2 linked regions of the Diceros bicornis minor genome follow. The protein of the gene in region 1 binds, or shares a complex with, the protein of each later gene. Links are inferred from orthologs where the notes say so. Each region holds a gene or a part of one and is shown in the gene's direction. Other genes may lie near its edges.

The links.
Region 2: the proteins of MED24 (region 1) and MED16 are in contact, whole or in part, in a cryo-EM structure (PDB 7EMF), measured with the Homo sapiens proteins. The link is inferred for Diceros bicornis minor from reciprocal best matches to the Homo sapiens genes MED24 and MED16. Residues at the interface, in NP_055630.2 of Homo sapiens: Ile539, Leu540, Asn541, His544, Pro545, Glu593, Arg629, Met630, Leu631, Gly632, Leu633, Asp634, Glu635, Asp676, Gln679, Gln680, Thr681, Ala682, Pro702, Pro703, Lys704, Arg705, Pro706, Ile707, Lys708, Glu709, His737, Met738, Gly739, Gly740; in NP_005472.2 of Homo sapiens: His29, Cys30, Pro31, Ser32, Arg52, Asp54, Asp55, Gln56, Glu82, Asp102, Val126, Glu127, Gly128, Asp129, Pro130, Val184, Ser185, Leu187, Thr203, Glu204, Ser205, Cys207, Arg208, Leu209, Arg210, Gly211, Arg212, Asp232, Gly233, Ser234.

The regions. Positions count from the first base shown.
Region 1 is NC_080757.1:39,630,275-39,642,211, reverse strand, and holds the start of MED24 (mediator of RNA polymerase II transcription subunit 24), read left to right. Parts: upstream 1-7,219; 5' UTR 7,220-7,260; intron 7,261-7,464; exon of another isoform or gene 7,465-7,651; 5' UTR 7,652-7,732; coding exon 7,733-7,862; intron 7,863-7,951; coding exon 7,952-8,034; intron 8,035-11,937. UniProt on the Homo sapiens protein: Component of the Mediator complex, a coactivator involved in the regulated transcription of nearly all RNA polymerase II-dependent genes.
Region 2 is NW_026691553.1:467,008-478,342, reverse strand, and holds the start of MED16 (mediator of RNA polymerase II transcription subunit 16), read left to right. Parts: upstream 1-5,387; 5' UTR 5,388-5,485; intron 5,486-5,700; exon of another isoform or gene 5,701-5,719; intron 5,720-7,314; exon of another isoform or gene 7,315-7,361; 5' UTR 7,362-7,407; coding exon 7,408-7,540; intron 7,541-8,223; coding exon 8,224-8,331; intron 8,332-8,602; coding exon 8,603-8,772; intron 8,773-10,091; coding exon 10,092-10,523; intron 10,524-11,147; coding exon 11,148-11,253; intron 11,254-11,335. Other genes in the region: R3HDM4 (R3H domain-containing protein 4), read left to right, coding at 50-135, 218-273, 897-1,000. UniProt on the Homo sapiens protein: Component of the Mediator complex, a coactivator involved in the regulated transcription of nearly all RNA polymerase II-dependent genes.

The DNA.
Region 1 (11,937 bases):
CCACCTGCATCCTCAGCTCTGTTGGAGCCACTTCTCTTACAGGGGGTACTGGGGTTTGCAATGCGTGGGGGAGAAGGGAGTGCTTCTCTTGGGATCCCCAGAATCATGGGGATGAGAAAGGCAGCTGGGATGAAAACCACGGGATGCAGAGTAGAGTGGTGGTGATAAGAGGTATGCAGTGGGTGAAGGGAGCCTACATTGTGCAGTGGCAGCCGTAGCGGGGAATTGAGGCTGCAGTGTGCAGAGTCAGCATGTAGTAAGTGAACCTGTGGGTTCAGCCTGGGCTTGCAGTGGACATGCAACAGCTGCAGTGTGGGGCAGGAGGCTGCATCGTGTAGAGTCAGGGCAGTGTGCACTGTGAGGTGCACTGAGGGTGGCTGTCTGCCAGTCGATGCCACCTCCTCGGTGACCAGGTTTGGCTGAAACCCTGGGGAGCAAGGCTGCCGTGTGCAATGCTCAGGGTGCGTGCTCTACCCTGTGTGGAAATAGTCTCTTGAGATTGGGCTGCCCAAGTAGTTGGGACAGAATCCCAGTGCGTAGGATACATTTATGAGATGAGCTACATTTATGCTCTGCATCAATCAGGCAGAACCAGGGGGCAATGGAGAGGTCTAGCAGAGGATTAGGGCAGGGTGACAGAGTCCAGAGGGTGCAGATGAAAGTGTAATGGTTTGTCTCCTCTCCATTCTGGCTTCCCTCACCACATCTCTCTTTGACAAAAGGCCCTAATGATATTGGGTAAGGGAGACTTTTTGAAATCCTAGACCCAGAGCCATAGAAAATGAAGTGCCTCCTGATCCACCTTTTTTTACCCCAGGGGCAGAATAGGGCGCCTTGAACTCAAAGACGAGAGTTTACCATTCCCATCTTTTCCTTATCTCTCTCCCTTTCCTTGGCTCCCAGTATGGGCTGCTAACAGACCTGGGCAAGGGCAAAGTGAAGGGCACACTGCCTCCAAAACAGGCATCTGGCCAGATGCCAGGATCCAGCCCAGGTCTGGGCTTATAGCCCCTGCCAGTGTTGCATCATCCCTATTTCCACCCCACTCGCCCTGCCTACCCCCATTTCTTGAAGCTTCTAGCTCTTCTCAGAGCCATTTCATTCTCAGCTCGTGTTTTCTCCTTGCTGTGAAACCCCACCAGAGCTGTCTCCTCCCATTCTCCACCCCCTCCCCCACCAACCTCTGCTTCAGGGCTGAGTCCATCAGGAGAGCAGGAGGGTGGGGCACAAGTGAGGATGGATAGAGACCCTCCAAGGGGATATGCCTGTTGGCCCTCTCCCTCTTAGATTTTGGTTGCCAAGGAGGCAGCAGGAACAGCCTGTTCTCTGGGCTCCCATAGGAGCAGCTATGCCCAAGCCCCTCCTTCTCTTTCTTCTTCCTTCCCTCCCTCCCAGATTGTTGCTAGGAAGCACCCCAAGATTTCTCAATGTTCCCACCCCTAGAAACCAGGGGATCCAGATATCTTCCTGAAAAGCTTCCCCTATAAGCCTGGAAGCCAAGACCCCACACAGCATCCTCTACCCCTGCCAATAAGCCCCAAGCAGTTTGGGGGAACAGGGGACAGTCCCTCTACCAGCCTGCCCTGGAACTAGCTCTGTGGCCTGGGCCTCAATAATTCCCCTCCCCCATCTCCTCTTGACCACCTGGGCTCTGGGTGATGTCAGCAAGTGATAAGGTGTCCAGCAGACACCCCTTGACTCTGCAGACACAGCCCCCCTTATTGGGGAGTTCTGGAAAGACAGCAGAGGAGGGCCAGCCCCGTGGCTTAGCGGTTAAGTGCACACGCTCTGCTGCTGGCAGCCCGGGTTCGGATCCTGGGCGCACACCGACGCACTGCTTCTCCGGCCATGCTGAGGCTGTGTCCCACATACAGCAACTAGAAAGATGTGCAACTATGACATACAACTATCTACTGGGGCTTTGGGGGGGAAAAAAAAGACAACAGAGGAAACTGAGGAACCACCAGCTAAGAGAACCTCAAACCCAGGTGTTTCACCCTTTAGTGATCTTTCAATCAAGAAAAAATGGTGGAAATGGAGGAAAGGGGGGCCATTTTATGGGAATTGGGGATCAAGTGGCTAGCAAAGATGAAAGACTGGGAAGTTAGCCAACAATTGCCCTGCTAAGAGTAAAGTGGCCACTTAATGCCCCCCTGTCAATCACTTTTGTCCCATCAGGTGCCCTGGTTATGAATCACAAATGAGGTAGCCAGGGAAGGGACTCAGGCCTGGCTGAGCCTTGTTTTTGATAGCTGAGGCAAGAAGTGGAAAAAGAAGCCGACACCTTCTCCAGGTTGTCTTTCAGGGTTTCTCCTACTTTTATTCATTCATTTTTTTGAGCATTTATTATGTGCCAGGTTCTGGTTTCACTTTGCCTTTGCCAGGAGGAGAGATGAAAGGAGAGACGGGGGGCAGTCTCCTTTACCATAGAGTTTGGGCCTTACCACACTGCAGCCCTCTCGGTCCAGTTAAAGGGGATGATGGGACAGGCTGGTGTGGAGGCCAAGAGGATAGAGTAGCTCTCAGTGCCTGGAGGGAGAGGTGGTGCAAAAGAAATGGCAGCCTGGGCAGGCCTGTGGCACAAGCGGTTAAGTGCGCGTGGTCCGCTGCGGCGGCCTGGGGTTCGCTGGTTCGGATCCCTGGTGCGCACCAACGCACCGCTTGTCAAGCCATGCCGTAGCAGCGTCCCATATAAAGTAGAGGAAGATGGGCATGGATGTTAGCCCAGGGCCAGTCTTCCTCAGGAAAAAGAGGAGGATTGGCAGATGTTAGCTCAGAGCTAATCTTCCTCAGAAAAAAAAAAAAAAGAAATGGCAGACTGGCCTCCCTTCCCTGCCACTGTCCAGTCCTCAGGATCGCAGCCCCTCTTTTCTTCTTTTTTAAAGATTTTATTTATTTATTTTCCCCCCCAAAGCCCCAGTAGATAGTTGTGTGTCATAGCTGCACATCCTTCTAGTTGCTGTATGTGGGACGTGGCCTCAGCATGGCCGGAGAAGCGGTGCGTCAGTGCGCGCCTGGGATCCGAACCCAGGCTGCCAGCAGCGGAACGCGCGCACTTAACCGCTAAGCCACGGGGCCAGCCCCCTCACTTCTTCTTTGCGCTGGGAATGTGGAGAGGGAAGGCATCCTTCAGGGTGTTAGAGAAGAAATACTCCAAGGACTGGTTCAAATTCTTTTTTTCACCATCCTGGCTGGTCTCTTTCTGGAGCTCTTCTGTGGGGGCAGTGGGAAGATAGAGACAGGGAACTTGGGGGGTCCAGGAGCTGTCCCTGAGGTGGGGCCACCATGTAGGTCTCTCCCCCATTCTCCTCTCCCCCAGATAGAGAGAAAGCAGGGATTGATGTGGGGACCGATGGGAGAAGGGAGCTGATTTGGAACCAGCTGTGTATGAGTGTGTGGGAACGACTCTTTCTTTCCCCATCCACCTGCTGCCAATTAACTCCCCATCCCATAGTGGGGAGACCCAGGCAAGCTTCCAAAGGAAAATGTTCCAGTTAGGGGAGGGGAATGACTCAGTTTCCCTGTGGAGAGAAGGGAAGCTGAAACCTTCTGTGCCTTGTATGCTTACCAAGTATTTCAGTGTTTCTGGGTATAGACTCTTGCCACTTTTCCTTATACAGTTGACCCTTGTTGTCCGCAGGTTTAGTACCCGCGGTTGGTTGAATCCAAGGATGGGAAACCCGAGGATAGAGAGCGCTGACTGTATTCATTGTACTACACCTTTTTTTTTTTTTGGTGAGGAAGATTAGCCCTGAGCTAACATCAGTGCCCATCTTCCTTTATTTTATGTGGGACACCTGCCACAGCATGGCTTGACGAGTGGTGCATAGGTCTGCACCCAGGATCTGGGCCTGCGAACCCCGGGCCGCTGAAATGGAGCACGTGAACTTAACCACTACGCCACCAGGCCAGCCCAATGTACTACACCATTTTATAGTGTAAGTGTAGTATCCATGGATTTTGGTATATGCGAGAGTTCCTGGAACCAATCTGCCATGGATACTTCTTTCTAGCCTAGATAATGAATGTCCCTGTCCCCTTGAGTACAAAAAACCCTGTTCCTCCCAGCCTCTTACCCCAACCCAAGTCCCCACTCTGGCCTAGCTCCTCTGCTGCTACTGCTCCAGTGTTGCCATGTCACTCTGGCTGGCTGGTTTCCACCTGTGCTTCTTCTCTAGCCAGACCCCTTCCCCAGCCAGATCAGCCAACAAGATGAAGAGGGTAGGGCTCAGGGTTAAGAGAGCAGAGGTGGGAGCTCAGCCGCTATCAGTGCTGAGGGAGAAGAAATGGACAGCAAAAGAAAGTGGAGTAAGTAAGAGGGGTTTTTGAGAGGGGCTGTATGGGCGGAGAGTTCCTTGTATAGCCAAAAGGGATGTCAGCATCTCTTCACTCACACAGTGGAGGATCATCATAGAGTCCCGTCTTTGTGGTCAGCAAGCCAGAGAGCTTGCGGGTCCTAGGAAGCTATTGTGTTGTGCAGGGAAGAGGTGGTGTACGGGAAAGGCTGTCTCTGATATTTGCAGACTAGATAGTCAGGACAAAGTAGAGAAATTGAAAATGGCCCTTGCCCAGAACTAAGAGAGTCCTTGTACTCCCTTAGGAGTCCAGTCCTTGGGGAAACCCTGCCAAGCCTAGAGAAAGGACTACTGGTGAGAGGTGGGGGGACAGGGAAGGCAGATGGCCTGACTACAAAAGCCACTTCCCTGTCACTGTAAAGTGGGGAAGAGGCATCCTCCCCCCCAGAGATCTACCACCCTTCCTGTCAGAGGGGGATGGTTTGAGCTCAGAATATCACTATCCTCAGGGCCCAAGTATTCCCCACTCTCATGTGGACTGGACCCAACACCTACTAACTCGGTTAGGAACAGTCACAAAGTTGACAGCCTCTCTCCAAGAGGGGCAGTCTGGGCTATGAGGGATGGGAAAGGAGCTGTAGGATCCAGGAATGACTCAAGGTAGGGGACCCTTGGCTTCAGGAGCAGGAAAAGAATGAGAGGAAGAGAGCCGGCAAGGTAGAGTGAGGGGCCTGGGAGAAGAAGGGAGCCCAGATTTGTGAGAGACTGCAGAGAAACAGGGTTGGTGGCGTCTCAAGTGTGTCTGTGTGGCTGGGGGAGTTTGGAGGTTAAATATGAGGAGTATGGGTTCTCCCTCCTTCCTGCTTTGGAAGCTTTGGCTACACATATTTGGCAGCTGTTTTATATAAACACTATTCACCACTGGTGTCACTTGGGCAGGCACAAAAGGGAGCAGAATGGAGGGGGGTATGGGTGGGTGTATGGGGAGGGAAAAAGGCCATAGGCAGTAATGACCTTAGAGGGATGTGACTTGGCCCTCCTCCAGCTGCAGTCTCCCCTTCAGAACAGGAGTCCTTTTCTCCCTGTTTAGGCTATGCTCCAGATACTCAGGATCCTGTTATTCTCTGCCCTAAGGGCCACAAGTTTGTTTCTAGAGCCTGAGTAGGCTGCTCTCCCGGATTCATCCTTCTGAGGACTGATTTTACCACTGAAAGGGTGGCCAAAGAATGGTCGTTGGGGAATATGGATGGATCTTGGACTCATGGGGGTATGGGATGGGAAGGCTCAAAATAGGGGTGGCAGGACATTGGGCGGATGACTCCATGATTATTCTTGTCCGTAGTTGTAAATGTTAGGGACGACTTGTCCACAGGACAGGGCAGGGATGAAGGCTGTGTATAGGGAGGCTCAGATGTTGGAGCCAGGGCCGGCCCTGTCCCTTAGCGGTTAAGTTCGCATGCTCCGCTGCTGGCGGCCCGGGCCTGGATCCCGGGCGCACACCGATGCGCCACTTCTCTGGCCATGCTGAGGCCGAGTCCCATGTACAGCAACTAGAAGGATGTGAAACTATGACATACAGCTATCTACTGGGGCTTTGGGGGGAAAAATAAATAAATAAAGTTAAAAAAAAAAAAAAGATGTTGGCGCCAGATGTGGGTAGCATTTGCTTTTGGGCTTCCCACTGTGGGGTGGGAAGTGGGGGAACAAGAGCTAATGCCTTAAACCCTGGACATAATTATCTACAATATGGTTCCAAAGGATAAGTGAGACATCACATTGTTTTTTTTTTTTAATTTTATTTATTTATTTATTCCCTCAAAGCCCCAGTAGACAGTTGTATGTCATAGCTGCACATCTTTCTAGTTGCAGTATGTGGGACACGGCCTCAGCACTGCCGGAGAAGCTGTGCGTCGGTGCGCGCCCGGATCCGAACCCGGGCCGCCAGCAGCGGAGCGCGCACACTTAACTGCTAAGCCACGGGGCCAGCCCAAGACATCACATTGTTTTTAAGAAACATTATTTTTAGGAATAGTTTTTGATTTACAGGAAAAAATTTGAAGATAGTAGAGGATCCCTACATACCCCACACCTAATTTCCCCTTTTTTAAACATCTTACATTAGTACGATACATTTGTTACAATTAATGAAACAATATTGATACATTATTATTAACTAATGTCCATGCTTTATTTATATTTCTTAGTTTTCACCTAATGTTCTTTTTCTGTTCCAGGATCCCATCCAGTGAACCGAGTTACATTTAGTCATCATGTCTCCTTAGGCCCTCTTGGCTATGACGGTTTTTCAGACTTTCCTTATTTTTGATAACCTTAACCTCAGTTTCCTCCTTACTTTCCTCCTTGCTTCTCCCTGTATTCAAGCAGTTGCAGGGCCAGGAGATTCTGGGAGGACTGCCAAATTTGGGGGTGAAGTAGTTATGTGTGTGCAACTGACCAAGCCTCAGTGTCGCTTCTGGAATACAGGTGTGGCAATGAGAACAACTCTGATAGGCGCAGGGGTTTAGGAGAGCAAGAAAAGGCCAGGAAAAAGAAAACGTATTGCTGAATCAACGCCACACACTAGCTGTGCCTACTAAGTAGCGGGTAACGAAAGGGTGTCGGAATATAATTTAAAGGCCGGGTCGACAGTGACGTCATTGGGCCACGTCTGATCGCGAACCGCTTTTCGAGAGCCCTCCCCGCTCAGCGGTCTGAGTCTCCGTGATGCTTCAGCCTCTCCCTGTCCTTCCCTAAAGGAGAGAAACAATGCGCGGTTACTAGCTTAGTCCCTTAGCTTCCTGGCTAGCCCAGTCCAGGAAACTACAATTCCCAGAAGGCATCGTGGCGTGACCGGTCTCTTGCTACATTCCTATTGGTTCATGTTTATTATTCCCAGCCAATAGAAAATTAGCCCTTTGATAAGTGCCAAAATGGCGATACCTAGGATCTAGGGCTTGATTGTCCGGTAGGCTTACATTTGGGCAAGTGGTGGATGAAAAAGAAATATGGAGTTGTAGTTTTAGGGTTAGGGAAGGTGGAGGAAATGGGGGTGGGGGGAGGGAATGTGCGTTCGAGGTGGTGCTGGCTGAGGGACGCAGCCGGAGCTAAGGGCGTAATTAGGAAACTGGATTTGGCTTAACCCCTTGTTGCCCTATTTACTCTTTGTATTAAGCCCGTTTGACACCCTCTTCTTAGTGCTTCAGTTTAAGGAAGGATGGTTCAGGAGGGAAGAACTTGACAGGATCCCTACCTTGCCCCCTTCCCCTTTTTTCCTTTCTAGTTCCTCTGCCTCCCTTAAATCTTCTTGTATCTTCTCCGTTGCATTTAACTCTGCCCTCCCCTGTTCTTTTCCTCAGAATCTCCTCTTCTCTTCTCCAGCTGGATTTCTCCCACCTCAAAGGTGACCGCCACCGGCCCCGCCTCCTCAGAGTGAAATCATGAAGGTGGTGAACCTGAAGCAAGCCATTTTGCAAGCCTGGAAGGAGCGATGGAGTGACTACCAGTGGGCAATCAACATGAAGAAATTCTTTCCCAAGGGAGCCACCTGGGACATTCTCAACTTAGCAGGTTCTCAAGTGAAATAGGAAGGAAGGATGGGAGGGCTAAACTCAGAAAAGTTGTAACCACTCAGTCTTGCTTTGTTATTCCGCTTGCAGAAGCACTACTGGAGCAGGCTATGATTGGACCTTCCCCCAATCCTCTCATCCTGTCCTACCTGAAGTATGCCATTAGTTCCCAGGTAAACTGCCCCACCTATTCCAGAGAGTGAGGGTTTGAAGGTAAAAGACTCGGAGTACAATTGTCAGCTCATACTTTTTAGGTGAATTTGTTTGAATACATCACTTCTCTGAGCCCTAGTTTTCTCGTAAAAATAATAATGCTTCATTGGGGGCTGGCCCAGTGGCGTAGTGGTTAAGTTCCTGGCTCTGCTTTTGTGGCCCAGGGTTCTCAGGTTCGGATCCTGGGCGTGCACCTTCACACCACTTATCAAGCCATACTGTGGCAGGTGTCCCACATATAAAATACAGGAAGATGGACACACATGTTAGCTGAGGGCCAATCTCCCTCAGCAAAAAGAGGAAGATAGGCAACGGATGTTAGCTCAGGGCTAATCTTCCTCACACACACACAAAATAAAAGATAACGCTTCGTTGGTTATGATGAATATTACATTAACTTATTCTCTCAAGAAGTATTCCTGAATTCTTGTATGTGCTAGACAGTGCCGCAGACTCCGGGGATATAGCTGTGAACAAGACCTGATCCCAGCGCAGAAGGAATTTGGTGGGTGATACAGATATATAAATAAGCAGTCGGTCGCAGGATGGGTTTATGATCTAGGTTAGGGCAGTAGTATGGGAGTATATGGGAGGGGTACGTGATCCAGTCTGAGGAATCAGGGAAGGCTTTCTAGAGGAAATGATGTTTAAACCAAGACCTGAATGGTAAGTAGGAGTTAGCTAGGCGCGTTGATGAGGCTGTACAAAGCAGGGAGGAGAGCATGTGAAGAGGCTGGGAGGCAAAAGTTGCATGATGATGAAAATAATTGAGTATGGCTGGAGCAGCAGTTTTGGTCTGAGGACCCTTTTATACTCTTAAAAATTGTTGATCCACTGGGCAAAACTGAAAAGGTCCCCGGTGACAATCCAACAAAGAAACAAAGAAAAGACTCCAAGAAAAAAATTATTGAGACTGCTTTGTTTATATGTTTTTCATCTATCCATATTTACCAGTGTAGGAATGAAAACAGAAATTTAAAAATATTTATGAATTTATTTAAAAGTAACAAAAAATAAAGCCATTACGTGTTAATATAAATAACATTTTAATGAAAACTGTATTTTCCAAAACAAAAAAATTAGTGAGGAAAGTGGCATTGTTTTATGTTTTTACAAATCTCTTTAATGTCTGGTTTAATAAAAGACAGCTGAATTCTCAAATCTTTTTTTTTTGTGTGTGTGAGGAAGATCAGCCCTGAGCTAACATCCATGCCAGTCCTCCTCTTTTTTTTTTTGCTGAGGAAGATTGGCCCTGGGCTAACATCCGTGCCCATCTTCCTCCACTTTATACGGGATGCCGCCACAGCATGGCCTGACAAGTGGTGCATCAGTGCCTGCCCGGGATCCGAACCTGCGAACCCCCCGGGCCGCCAGCAGTGGAGCGTGCGCACTTAACCACTACTCCGTGGGGCTGGCCCCTGAATTCTCAAATCTTGTGCATTCAATTGTTGCAATAGGCTATTTTGGTTGAAGTGTATGAAGAAAATCTGCCCTCACACATCAAATATTTAGTTTGGAAAGGGAGCAGTACTTTAATAAACTTTTCAGATAATTGCATATTCTTCTTTGATACACTAAAATTCAACAGGTGATGTGAAACCACATGAATCAACTTTTTATACTCCATTACATTAAAATCCATTAGTCTCTCTCTTGCACTTTGAATATATCTTTTACCCATGCATGATTTTATCATATCATGAATTGGTCATTTGGAAAATATCCGTTACTGAGTTACACAGATATTCCAGTTGACACGTTTAATTATATGATATCATCACATATCATAGAGCCTCTGGGACACTCCTTGTACAGTTGTGAGAGAATGAGAGTGAAAAAGGCAAATAACATCTTAGTCGTATTTATTTTTTGACCTCACAGACCCCAGGGGTTCCTGGACCATATTTTGAGAACTGCTGGGCTAGCACTTCAAGGAGGACACTGGTTTAGAGTGAGATAGAGATTAGGTCATAAAGGACCCGTGAGTGATGCTAAGGAGTTTGGACTTTATCCTAGGGTGACAAGTAATCATTTAAAGGATTTTAAGTGGAAGAATAGTATGATAGGAGATATATATATATTTAACATGCAATAAAATGCACAGATCTTAAGATTAATTCAGTGAGTTTTAGCAATTGTATATACCATGTCACTGATATCCAAAATAAGATACAGAACATTTTCATTCTCCCAGAAAGTTCTCTTGTGCTCCTTTCTAGTCCATCCTCTTATAACCACTAAGTGTTTTCTATCACCATAGACTAATATTTGGATTTCATAGAAATGGAATCATATATGTTCTGTATACTGTTTTCTTTTGTTTAACATAAATGTTTTTGAGATTTATCTATGTTGTTGTGTATGTCAGAACTTCCTTTTTTTTAATTGCTGAGTAGTATTCTTCAGCTGGCACGTAGTTCTCGTACTTCCTTTTTCCTCTTGGCGTTATGTCTGCTTTCCATGTTAGTACATATTCACGTCCTTTATTCTTTTTAACTGCTGCATAGTGTTCCATATGTACTGTAATTTAGGTTGTTTTTTAATTTTTTACTGTTATAATCAATGTTTCACTGAACATCCTTATACTCACCTTATCCTCACCCTTCTGCATATCTGAGAATATTTCCCTAGGATAGGGAACTACCTAGAAATGGAATTGCTGATTTGAAGAGTACCCACACATTAAATTGTAGTAGGTCCTACAAATTGTGCTCCAAAAAGGATTGTATCAGTTTATACCCTCTCCATAGTGTTTGATAGTATTTCCCCACACCTTTCCAGTGCTGGATAGAATCTCTTAAAACTCTTTTGCAGAGAGGCAAAAAATTACATCACATTATAATACATATTTCCATGATTGCGATGTTGAGCGTATTTTTTCGTATGTTTATCGGCTCTCTGTATATCTTCTGTCAATTACTTATGTATATCATTTGCCCATTTTTCTGTCATTTGTTTGTTTTCTTTATTTTGGTAACAGCTTTATTGAGATATAAATCACAAACTATACCATTTACGCATATAAAGTATACAATTCACTGGTTTTTAGTGTATTCAGACTTGTGCAACCATCACCACAATCAATTTAGAACATTTTCATCATCCCAAGAAGAATTCTTACTGATTTTTAAGTGTCTATTAATATAATCTATCTTGTAATCATTATCTTTTATATATGTTTTAAATTTTCTATCACTTTTTTTGACTTGTTGGTTTTATTTTCTTAGCATGCAGAAATTTTTAATGTTTTTGTTGTCAGATTTAACCATTTTTTTCCATTATATGGCTTTGTCTTGCTTGAGGGCCTCCCTGCTCTGAGGATCAAGATATATTCTTCTCTGATTTCTGCCAACATTTTACTTTTCTTTTTTATATTTATTTTGTTTAATCCATTTAGACTTTATTGAGGTGTGAAGAAGAGATCCATATTTATTTATTTATTTTTCCAAATAGATGGACAGTTGGCTCAACTGCCTTTATTGAATAGGCCATTCTTTGTTGTATCCTAAATTGTTTCTTGACATTCTAGTATGTTTGATTGATAGTTTTGTCTTTTCTCACACCAATACTTTACTGTTTTAACTACTATACCTGTAGAGCATGTTTGATATCTGGTTAGGCAAGTCTTCCCTTTGTTTTCTTTTTTTTTTTTTTTTGTGAGGAAGATCAGCCCTGAGCTAACATCCATGTTAATCCTCTTCTTTTTGCTGAGGAAGACCGGCTCTGAGCTAACATCTATTGCCAATCCTCCTCCTTTTTTTCCCCCAAAGCCCCAGTAGATAGTTGTATGTCATAGTTGCACATCCTTCTAGTTGCTGTATGTGGGACGCGGCCTCAGCACGGCTGGAGAAGTGGTGCCTCGG
Region 2 (11,335 bases), on another chromosome or scaffold:
GCCCAGGGTCCCACAGTCAGCCTGACCCCGGGGCCCGTCTCTCCTGCAGGAAACGCTGGAGACCTGGGAGGAGCGGCTGCTCAGGTTCTTCTCCGTGTCCCCCCAGGCCGTGTACACGGCCATGCTGGACAACAGGTGACCGGGTTGGGGCGGGCACAGCGGGATCCCCGGGTGTCCGGCTCTGGCCCTCGGCCCCTCACCGCCCCTTCCTCCACAGCTTCGAGAGGCTCCTGCTTCACGCCGTCTGCCAGTACATGGACCTCATCTCGGCCAGTAAGTGCCTGGCGGCCCCCAGACCCCAGCTGGCCGATTGAGCCCGGGGACACCGAGGCCGGGGTTACACGGGGTCTGGTTCCTCCACGGGAGCAGAGGGTTGGCAGTGGCTCTGCGTTAATTCACCAGAAGCTCCCTGTGCGCCTGGCCCCACGCTGGGTGACGCTGTGGCCACAGACACCCCTCAGTCCGCCTCTTCAGGGCCGAGAGCAGAGAGGGGCCTGGGGGATGAGGCTGGGCCCCCAGGGACCCTGAGATGAGATGAGGGGACCCCAGTGTCTGCAGCGTTCTCATTTAGCCGTTGTCTCCTCCACTGTGCCACACGTGTGACTTCCACCAAGTGCCCCCTGCCGGGGCCTGTGTCCCCGCTTTTACAGCCCCCCAGGGAGGGTCCTCGCAGGCCCCTGCTGGCCCTGGGCGCCCCATCGGGTCCTCGCTCCCCACGCCTGTCTCTCCGCCTCCTGCCCGGAGTTGCTAAGGAGACGGTTTCCATGGCAACCTCTGGATGCCTCCTGCGGCCCCCACGCCCGCCTTTGTTCCCACAGACTCGGGCGGAGGGGCCGGGCCGGGGGTGCTTCTCTGCAAAGGTGGGGACTCACTCGCCCCGCTGGCGCCTCGCGCAGGTGCTGACCTGGAGGGCAGGCGGCAGATGAAGGTCAGCAATCGGCACCTGGACTTCCTGCCGCCCGGGCTGCTCCTCTCCGCCTACCTGGAGCAGCGCAGCTGATGGCGGCCCGCCGGGCCCCGCCCACCGCCTCCCCGGCACCGGACCTTCCGTGCCACCCGCCAGAATATCTTCATTATTTTTAGAATTCGTCTTTGGAAACGTCATCTTCCCCTTGGGGTGGCTCTCTCTCACCCCAGCCCCCTCCCTGCCCAGCCCTTCCAGATAAATTCTGGTGGCTGGGGCTGCTCTGGCCTTTCCAGGCCCCATAGCTCCTCGCTCTGGGACTTGTATTTGGGCGGGGAGACCGGGCCTGGTCACTTCCATGTTCCTTCTTCGTTCAGCTTTCTCCGTCCAGTCTGAGGCTTAAGCGAGGAGGGAGAGGCTGGCTTTTTATCACTTTTAATGAATTTGGTGTGATTTGTTGTAGATTTTTAAATTTCCCTTTTGGGAAGAAAAACCAAACTCGCCCCAACTGATAAATCGGGGGGCTTTGTTCCAGTCCCTGCTTGACACCCCCCTCCCAGTTTTTGGCTTGGATGGGGGGGGTCTCTGGGGCCTCGTCCCCCGCCCTGGGAGTGTTACGTCTTGTGTGTGCGTGCGCGTGCCCCACGACCCAGGACGGAAGCTGCGTTTTAAAGGCTGGTTTTACTCTCTTTTTGGAATGTGTGTTGTCCCCCGCTGGTGTCTTTTGGTGGCTCTTGGGGCCCTGTCTGCTGTATACCCTGCCCTTCCCCATTTTTCTCCCGTCTTTTCCTACTGGGAGTCCGGGACTTCCAGCCAGAAGCCTCCGCCCTTGGACTACCCGGTTCCCTTTCCATGTTCCCCAGCCTGTTGCTTTGGGGTGTCCTCCGGCGGGCCACCTGGCCTGGCCCGGCCCCCGAGAGCAGGGCTGCCCCCCCCCCGCCCCCGGTGTGTGGCTAGCTGTGCTTTGGGAAGAGTGGAGAGTCAATAAATTTCTGGTGCTCTTGTCTCAGCTGTGGGGTTCCCTTTGGTGCGGGGCTGGGGGCGCAGGAGGCTCGGGATCGCTGGGGTCCTGGTCATTGAGGCTGTAGGCTCGGGGATGGGGCTTGGCACTGAGTGACGCCCCAGGGGTGAGGCGGGTGTCCGGGGAGACTGCCGGGAGCATCGGGGGCTCGCTCTGCCCCGCTGGCTCGTCCCCCTCCCGGGAGCCCAGGTTCAGACCCAGCTCCGCCACTTCCCGGCTGTGTGACCTCCAAAAAGTCACTCGTGTGAGCTTCCTGGGGACAGAGTACCCCACACTGAGGCTTAAAACCACAGGAATACACTGTCTCCAGTTCTGGAGCCCAGACATCTGAGGTCACGGTGTCGCAGGGCCGTGCTCCCTCCGGAGGCTCCCTCCCGCCTCTCCCAGCCTCTGAGGCTCAGGCGTCCTGGGCTTGTGGCCGCGTCCCTCCATCTCTGCCTCCGTCGTCACGTGGACTCTCCCTGCGTGTGTCTGGGACTGGCCGGTGTCCTGCAGGACGTCCCCAGCCTGGGTTTTCTCATGATCGGACAAAGGGACGTGCCCTGTCATCGCGCCACATCGGGGTCCCTGCTGTCCTCGCGGCTTCTCCCTGCTGACGGGGACCCTGACCTCCTGGTGGAGGGGCGCTACTCGGGCCCTGCACTGGGGGGTCCCTGCCCCTCCACACTGTCCTCGGGAAGCGGTCTTCATGAGGGCAGAGCCTCTGCCTGATTTACTGGGAATTCCACAGGGGAGGACTGTCTCTTCTCCACGTGTGTTTATTCAACCACATACACGACGAGGCTCGAGGGGGTATTTACTTTCTGGTCTGGGTTATAATCCAACATCACTTTATTTCGTTGCTCAGACTGTTGCGGGTTTGGCGGCCGAGAGCTCCTTCAGCAGCTCCTTGTCTCTCGGAGGCCCCCATCCCGGTGGGGTTTTTAGTTTGTGAGTCCGGCCTGACTTTCTGGGCTTCAGGGTGCGCGGCTCCTCCCACCCGGGCCCGGATTCGAAGCCAGCGTGGGGCGCTGGGGGCGCTGTCTTCCGTGTGAACGGACATTTACAAAGTTTTAAAGATAGATGCTGGAGGAGGGAAACCCAAATGGCTGGGAGGAGGACAAAAGGAGATACTGGGTCACCAGCTGGGAGGCCCCGTCTGTGAAGGGCACGAATTCCCAGTTCCCAGGGGACAGGGCTGGGCCGCAGGGCGGGCATGCGGGGCCTCTGGGGGCGCCCACTGGCTGCCCTTCCAGTCTCGCGGTTGCCACTGTGGGGCGGTGGGCTTCCTTCCACCCATTTTCCCCAGCTCCGTTCCCAAGAACCAGGCCTTTGCCCAGGCAGTGCCTTCTGCCCAGTGTGCCCTTCCCTGCAATCCCAGGAGGGCTTCCTGGAGAAGACCTTCCAATTGGGGAGAGTCGGGCAGGAATAGAAGCAGCTTTTGGAGGAGGAACTGGGGATGGGGTTTGAATCCAGAAGGGCCCTCGACTGGGCAAGTCACCATGTTTATCAGAGCCTCAGTTTCCCCAGCTATGAAAAACAGAAATGTAAAGCATGGGACAAGAGACCCCGAAGAGCCAAAGGAATCCTGAGAAAAAAGAACTTATGTGCACATGTTAATCTTTGACAAAGGAGCCAAGAACATACGATGGAGAAAGGAAAGTCTCTTCAACAAATGGTGTTGGGAAAACTGGACAGCCACATGCAAAAGAATGAAAATAGATCATCATCTTACACCATACACAAATTAACTCAATATAGATTAAAGAGTTGAATGTAAGACATGAAAACAAAACTCCTAGAAGAAAATATAGGCAGTACACTCTCTGACATTGGTCTTAGCAGCATCATTTCGAATTCCATGTCTCCTCAGGCAAGGGAAACAAAAGAAAAAATAAACAAATGGGACTTCATCTGACCAAAGAGCTCCTGCAAAGCAAAGGAAACAATGAACAAAACGAAAAGATGATCTAACAATTGGGAAAAGATATTTGCAAACCATATATCCCACAAGGGGTTAATCTCTGTAATATATAAAGAACTCACACAACTCAACAACAAAAACACAAACAACCCAATTTAAAAATGGGCAGAGGATATGAACAGACATTTTTCATAGAGATGACTAACAGACACATGAAAAGATGTTCAACATCATTAACTATCAGGGAAATGCAAATAAAAACTACACTGAGATACCACCTCACGCCTGTCAGAATGGCTATAATTAACAAGACAGGAAACAACAAGTGTTGGAGAGGATGTGGAGAGAAGGGAACCCTCACGAACTGCTGGTGAGAGTGCAAACTGGTGCAGCCACTATGGAAAACAGTATGGAGATGCCTCAAAAAGTTAAGAATAGAGATACCATACGATCCAGCTATTCCACTGCTGGGTATTTATCCAAAGAACATGAAAAAACAAATACATAAAGATACATGCACCCCTATGTTCATCACAGCGTTATTCACAATAGACAAGACTTGGAAGCAACCTAAGTGCCCATCAAGGGAAGAATAGATAAAGAAGATGTGGTATATACACACCATGGAATATCACTCAGTGATAAAAAAGATGAAGTCATGCCATTTGCAACAACGTGGATGGACCTTGAGGGTATTATGTTAAGCGAAATAAGCCAGACAGAGAAAGACAAACACCGCCTGGTTTCACTCATATGTGGAAGATAAACAAACACATAAATTTGGAGGAGATTGGTGGTTACCAGAGAGGCAGGGTGTGGGAGGAGGGTAACACGGGTAAAGGGGCACAGGTGCACAGTGACGGATGATAACTAGTCTTTGGGTGGTGAACACTGTGTCTTCTACACAGAAATCGAAATATAACGATGTATACCTGAAATTTATACAATGTTGTAAACCAATGTGACCTCAATAGAAGGAAAAAAAAAAAAGAAATGTAAAGCAAATGCGAATGGGACCAGCTTTTGGAGGAGTCCGGGATGGGGTTTGCAGCCAGAAGGGCCCTCGATTGGGTAAGTCACTTGGCTTATCAAGCCTCAGTTTCCCCACCCGTAGATATCAGAAAAAGTTTCTCTACCTGCGGATACCAGAAAAACAAGGCGCAAAATATGGAACGCTTCACGAATTTGCGTGTCATCCTTGCGCAGGGGCCATGCTAATCTTCTCTGTATCGTTCCAATTTTAGTATATGTGCTGCCGAAGCGAGCACGAACCTCAGTTTACCCAGAGAGATATTTATAGTGCAAACTATCAATAACTTTACACTAAGGGTGAATTTCATTGAGCAAGTTCAGTAACTCACTTATTTTTTAGGTATCAGCGCAACACATAGCGTAGCCAAATGGGGTCACGCACCGGAGTTGAGAAAGTGTTCTTTGTTCTACCAAATACAATTCAGGTGGCTGCTGGGAATTATTAATAAGCATATGCAAATAACCCGGAAGCCGGCAGAGCAGGAGCCGCCGCCGTCCCAGAAGCCTCCGGGAAGCGGCCGCGCTGCGCGGACGTCTTGTTGGTCGCGGGGAGGATGGCGGCGCCGGAGCCGGCGCGTTAGGGCGAGTGCGGGCCGTCTGCTCGGCTGGGCGCTCGGCTGGCCCGGTGAGCGCGGGGCTGCGGAGCCCGGGGGTCAGACGGCTTCCGGACGGCGCCCGCGGCCCCGGAGAGCACGGCCCGGAGAAGGCGGGGCTTCGCGGGTCCGGGGCGGGGCCTGTGGGGTCAGAGGGCGGGTCTGGAGAGCAAAGGGTGCTGGGTACGCGGGCTGGCGCGCGCTGGGCGGGCTCGGGGGTTGTGGCCGAGACTTGAGGGGAAGCATGAGTCCAAGTGGGGGTCGCGGTGAGTTCGGGGAGCTGGGGTTATGAAGGGGGGGCCTAGGCTATTTGGGGGCGGGGCCTAGAGGTTGTAACTCCGGGGGGCGGGGCCTAGCAGTTGTAACTCCTGGGGGCGGGGCCTAGCGGTTGTAACTCCTGGGGGCGGGGCCTGGGCGACTTGGGGCGGGGACTAGAGGGTGTAGCTCCTGAGGGGCGGAAGCTAGAGGCTCTAACTCCCGGGGGCGGGGTCTGGGCTATTTGGGGGCGGGGCCTAGCGGGTGTAACCCCCGGGGGGCGGGGCCTAGCGGTTGTAACTCCTGGGGGCGGAGCCTAGAGGTTATAACTCCTGGGGGCGGGGCCTGGAGGTTGTAGCTCCTGAGGGGCGGAGTCTATAGGTTGTAACTCCCCAGGGGCGGGGCCTGGAGGTTGTAGCTCCCGAGGGCGGAGCCTATAGGTTGTAACTCCGGGGGGCGGGGCCTGGAGGTTGTAGCTCCCTGGGGCCGGAGCCTAGAGGTTGTAACTCCTGGGGGCAGAACCTGGAGGTTGTAGCTCCCGAGAGATTGTGTCTCTTGGGAGTGGGGCCTGGAGAGTGTATCTCCTGAGGGGCGGTGCCTGGGTCGCGTTGGGGGTGGGCATGGGCGTTTGGGGGCGGGGCTTGGGGATCATGTAGGGTTCCTGGGGTGGGATCTGAGGTCTCCAGGGGGCAAGTAGAGTCAGGACCTGGAGAACTTGGTGGGGCAGTCTGGAAAGCAAAAAGTGTTGGGCGGGGCTGGAGGGCTTGGGGGTGGGACCTGGGGGTTGTTTGGGGTCCCTGGGTTGGAGCCCGAGAGTTTAGGCCGGGCTTGGGGGCTCCGGGGGGCAAATTGGGAAAGCAAAGAATGTAGGGGATGGGGATTGAGGGCTTGTGGGCAGGACATTGGTGTTCTGGGGCGAGGCTGGAAGAATAGGGTGCCCTAGGGGTGGTGGTTGAAAGAAATGGGGTAGGTGGTTGTTCCATCTCATTGGGTTTCTGTTGTGGTGAAAGGAAACAACCTATAATTGGGCTGGGCATGTGGAGAGCCACCCGGCCACCCCCAGTAAGCTGCCCACTCCCCACCTGTCTCTCCATCTCAGCCAGAGACAGCACCACCGTGCTCTTGCATGTTTCTGGTAGAGACGGGGGGTCCCACCTCTCCCTGCAGTATCCACTGGCCCCGTCGTTGCCCGCCTGGACTAGTGCAGTCCCCACTGCATCCCCTAGCTGCGCACTCCAGACAGCCAGAAGGGTCTGTTGCAACATAGATGGGTCACGGCCTTCCCAAGGCTCCCACCTCACTCGGGGCACTGCACGGCCTGCCCCATCCCCTCACTCACTCTGCTCCAGCCACTCCGGCCAGCCAGCCACTCTCTGAACACACAGGGCTCCATCCAGCCTCTGGGCCTTTGCACTGGCTGTTCCCACCACCTGGAATGCTCTTTCCTCAGACATCTGCCTGCCTCGCTCCCTCATACCCACGCTCAGTATACTCTCCCTGGTGAGGCCTCCCTGTCACGGCCCCCATACATACACACACACAGACACTCACTAGACACACTCCCTGTGGTCACCTGGCGTCCTGTCCCACACTCGGTGCCCTGCAGGTTCTCCGTGAACGTGGATGACGAGCCAGCCCTCCTCCTTCCCCCAGGAGCTGGTGACTGTTCTCGCCGTGGGAGCCGTGGCAGGCGGGCACCATGGATCTGGCTTACGTCTGCGAGTGGGAAAAATGGCCCAAGAGCACCCACTGCCCGTCGGTGCCCCTGGCCTGTGCCTGGTCCTGCCGAAACCTCATCGCCTTCACCACGGATCTCCGGAATGACGACCAGGGTACGCCCCCGGCCCCCCGACACAGTGTCGTAGCCTGGCCCCCACAGTGCTGCTGTGGGGTCCTCAGGGTCCCCAGGCCTGCCAGGGAGCACCCTCACCGTCCAGGCCCTCCGCTCCTGGGGATGTGACGGCCCCAGCCCCGCAGGGTGCACAGGGCAGCTGTGGTGCGCTCCCACGCCCGGTGCCCGGGGATGCTGGGATCACCCTTCGGGATGGAGTGGGGTGAGGGGCGGGATCCCCAGTCTTCTGGACCAAACATGTCATCGTTCGTCTTTAATGTAGCGTCTAACGTGCATGGCAGTTGCTGTCTTCTCTCCGTCGTCAGAGAAAACCAGAAAAGCACAGAAATTCAGGATAAAGAGAAACAACCAGCCGTTACCTTCCACGGAGAGACGCTCACTGTTAACATTTTGGGGTCATTTTCTTGCAATTCTCTTTTCTGTGTCTCTCTTAAAAACGTGGTCATAGCCGCACTGGTGGCATGGTCACAGGCCCGCTCCGGTCTCCAGGTGGGACATGAGCCTGGTCCTCCATTGCCCCGGGGCATTGGCATGGTTGGCGGCGGCTCTGTGACTTCCTTGCGGGTGGGCCGTCCACTGGCTTCCTCCTTGAGCCGCCTGGTGGTCGGGCGCTTGGGGGCTGTGTCGTTGCTGCTGTGCTGATGGTGCCCTGTTCCCCCACAGACCTGACCCGCATGATCCACATCCTGGACACGGAGCACCCCTGGGACGTGCACTCCGTCAGCTCGGAGCACAGTGAGGCCATCACCTGCCTCGAGTGGGACCAGTCAGGTGAGGGTGGGCCTGGGGTCTGCGCGGCCCGGGGAGACGCCCGTGTGCCCCTCGACCCCGGCTCCCGGAGCAGCATGCTCTGTCTTTCCCCAGGCATGTCCCCAGTGCCCAGAGCTGGGACTCGAACCCTCGACCTGTGGCAAAGCCACTGCTCCTCCCATTCCCCGTGTCCAGAATCATTTCCGGAACATGCCTTGTGCCACTCCCCTGCTCTGTGTCCACCAGGCTGGCTTCTCTGCTGGGGGTTCGTGACTCAGCTTTGCCCCCACAGGCTCCCGGCTCCTGTCCGCTGATGCCGATGGGCAGATCAAGTGCTGGAGCATGGCGGACCACCTCGCCAACAGCTGGGAGAGCCACGTGGGCAGCCTGGTGGAGGGGGACCCCATTGTGGCCCTGTCCTGGCTGCACAACGGTGTGAAGCTGGCACTGCATGTGGAAAAGGTGGGTGTCTGGCCCAAGTGAGCAGGTGTGGCGGACGAGGTTGTTTACCCTGCCCGTCCACCTGCCAGCCTGGCTCCTCTCCCACCACCAGCATCCTCTGGCTTTGGGAGCCCTGGGCCCAGCTCATACCTGCCATCAAGCTGTCACTTAGCACCTTTGTTTTCAGTGGGCACCCATTTAACTGATGGCTGCTGTCCTCGAGGAGTCACCTTTTTAACTGACAGCTGCTGTTCTCAGCTGCCCATTTAACTGATGGCTGCTGTCCTCAGCGAGTCACGTTTTTAACTGATGGCTGCTGTCCTTAGCTGCCCATTTAACTGATGGCTGCTGTCCTCAGTGAGTCACCTTTTTAACTGATGGCTGCTGTCCTCAGTGAGCCTTCCATTTAAGGGGTGGCTGTTCTCTTCAGTGAGCCACCTATTTAAATTGATGGCTGCTGTCCTCAGTGAGCTGCCCATTTAACTGATGGCTGCTGTTCTCAGAACCCAGCCTGTCCTTTAATTCAGTAATATCTCAGAATTTCTCTCTCTGTACCCTGTGATTTGACCTAGCATCGCCGTTAAGAGTGGGAGCCATCTGGGTCAGGGGGCGCCTGAGTTCAAATCAGGAAGTAATCTTTTCTCCTGTCCCTCCCTCAGGGCCCAGTGCGGGGCCCGGGGACGGTCCTGTCAGCGTGTGGCTGCCGTGTGCGCAGCCCGGGCTTCATGCCACCCCGTGAGCGTCTCAGGACGGGCTGCTGTCTCTCTTTTGTAACAGCTTTATTGAGATAAAATTCACACGCCTTACAACTCACCCACTTAAAGTACACAATTAAGCGTTTCGTGTGTGGTGCAGGCATCACCACTAATTCCAGAACATTCTATCACCGCAAAAGAAACCCCATCCCAAATGCAGCCCCCACCTGTTTTTGTCAGCGGAATCTTATTGGCAGCAGCTTCTGCGTTACAAACACAGAGGACGAGCCAGGTAGTCACAACAGGACCACCTGGCCCTCAAAGCTGAAAATGTGGGGTGTCCGACCCCTTACGGAAAAAGGTTGCTGACTCATTCTACATGTGTTTAGTCATTGAATCCTCACCGTGGACCTCTGAGGTCCAGACGGGGAGACCGAGGGTCAGAGAGACTCACATCTCACAGTGCTGAAGTGGCCCAGGCAGGATTTGAACTCAAGTCCACGGTGTCGTGCGTTCTGCCCTGTTGCCCCTCCGTGTTTCTGTGGATGCGACTTTCAGAAGAGGGGTTGTTGGGTCACAAAAGGCAGACCCTGAAGGGCTGGTCGGGGCGTCTCTTCCTGATCCCTGGCTCCCCCTCCCCTGCAGTCGGGTGCCTCCAGCTTCGGGGAGAAGTTCTCCCGCGTCAAGTTCTCGCCGTCGCTCACGCTGTTCGGCGGCAAGCCCATGGAGGGCTGGATCGCGGTGACGGTCAGTGGCCTGGTGACCGTGTCCCTGCTCAAGCCCAGCGGGCAGGTGCTCACGTCGACGGAGAGCCTGTGCCGGCTGCGCGGCCGCGTGGCCTTGGCCGACATCGCCTTCACGGGTGGCGGCAATATCGTGGTGGCCACGGCGGACGGCAGCAGTGCGTCCCCGGTGCAGTTCTACAAGGTGTGCGTGAGCGTGGTCAGCGAGAAGTGCCGCATCGACACCGAGATCCTGCCCTCGCTCTTCATGCGCTGCACCACTGACCTCAACCGCAGGGACAAGTTCCCCGCCATCACACACCTCAAGTTCCTGGCCCGCGACATGTCGGAGCAGGTGAGCCCTGGCCGCCGCCCTCCTCGCCTCATGTCCTGGGGTCAGAAGTCCTGAATCCAGGTTCGGGCAGGGCTGTCCTCCCCGAGGCTCCAGGGAGAACCGTCTCCTGCCTGTTCCAGCTTCTAGAGGCGCCGCGTCCTGGGCTCGGGGCCCCTTCCTCCGTCTGCACAGCCCGCAGCACAGCATCTCCCGTCTCTCTCTGCCTCTGACCCTCCTCCCTCTGATGAGGACCCTGTGATGACACTGGGCCCCCGGGAATCCAGGGTCATCCCCCATCCCAGGGGCCTCAACTTAATCCCACCTGCAAAGTCCTCTCTGCCATGTGAGGTGACACGTCCACAGGTCCTGGGACTAGGATGGGGTCATCTGGGGCCGTTGTTCAGCGGTCATCCCGGTTCCCATTGTAACCGCGCATCAATAGGGCCCCAGATCCCCCCAGGGAGGGCGCCGTCGGGTGACATTTGCCATTCTGGCTCGGCGCCCCTCACGAGAGGCATGTGGCCGGCAGTGGGCCTGGGTTCGAATCCACGACGGCATGAGGTGGGAGCCGTGGACGACCGAGGAGAGGGGGCCAGGCTGGAGCCGGGCTTGGAGCCGGCGCCCTCACCAAGCTGCCGCCCGCAGGTGCTCCTGTGCGCGTCCAGCCAGACGAGCAGCATCGTGGAGTGCTGGTCGCTGCGGAAGGAGGGGCTCCCCGTGAACAACATCTTCCAGCAGATCTCCCCCGTGGGTGAGTCTCCTGGGGGTGCCGCCCCGCCCTCCCGGGTACTTGGTCTTCAGTTCGGGGAGCGCAGAGCCGGTCTGCACGCTCC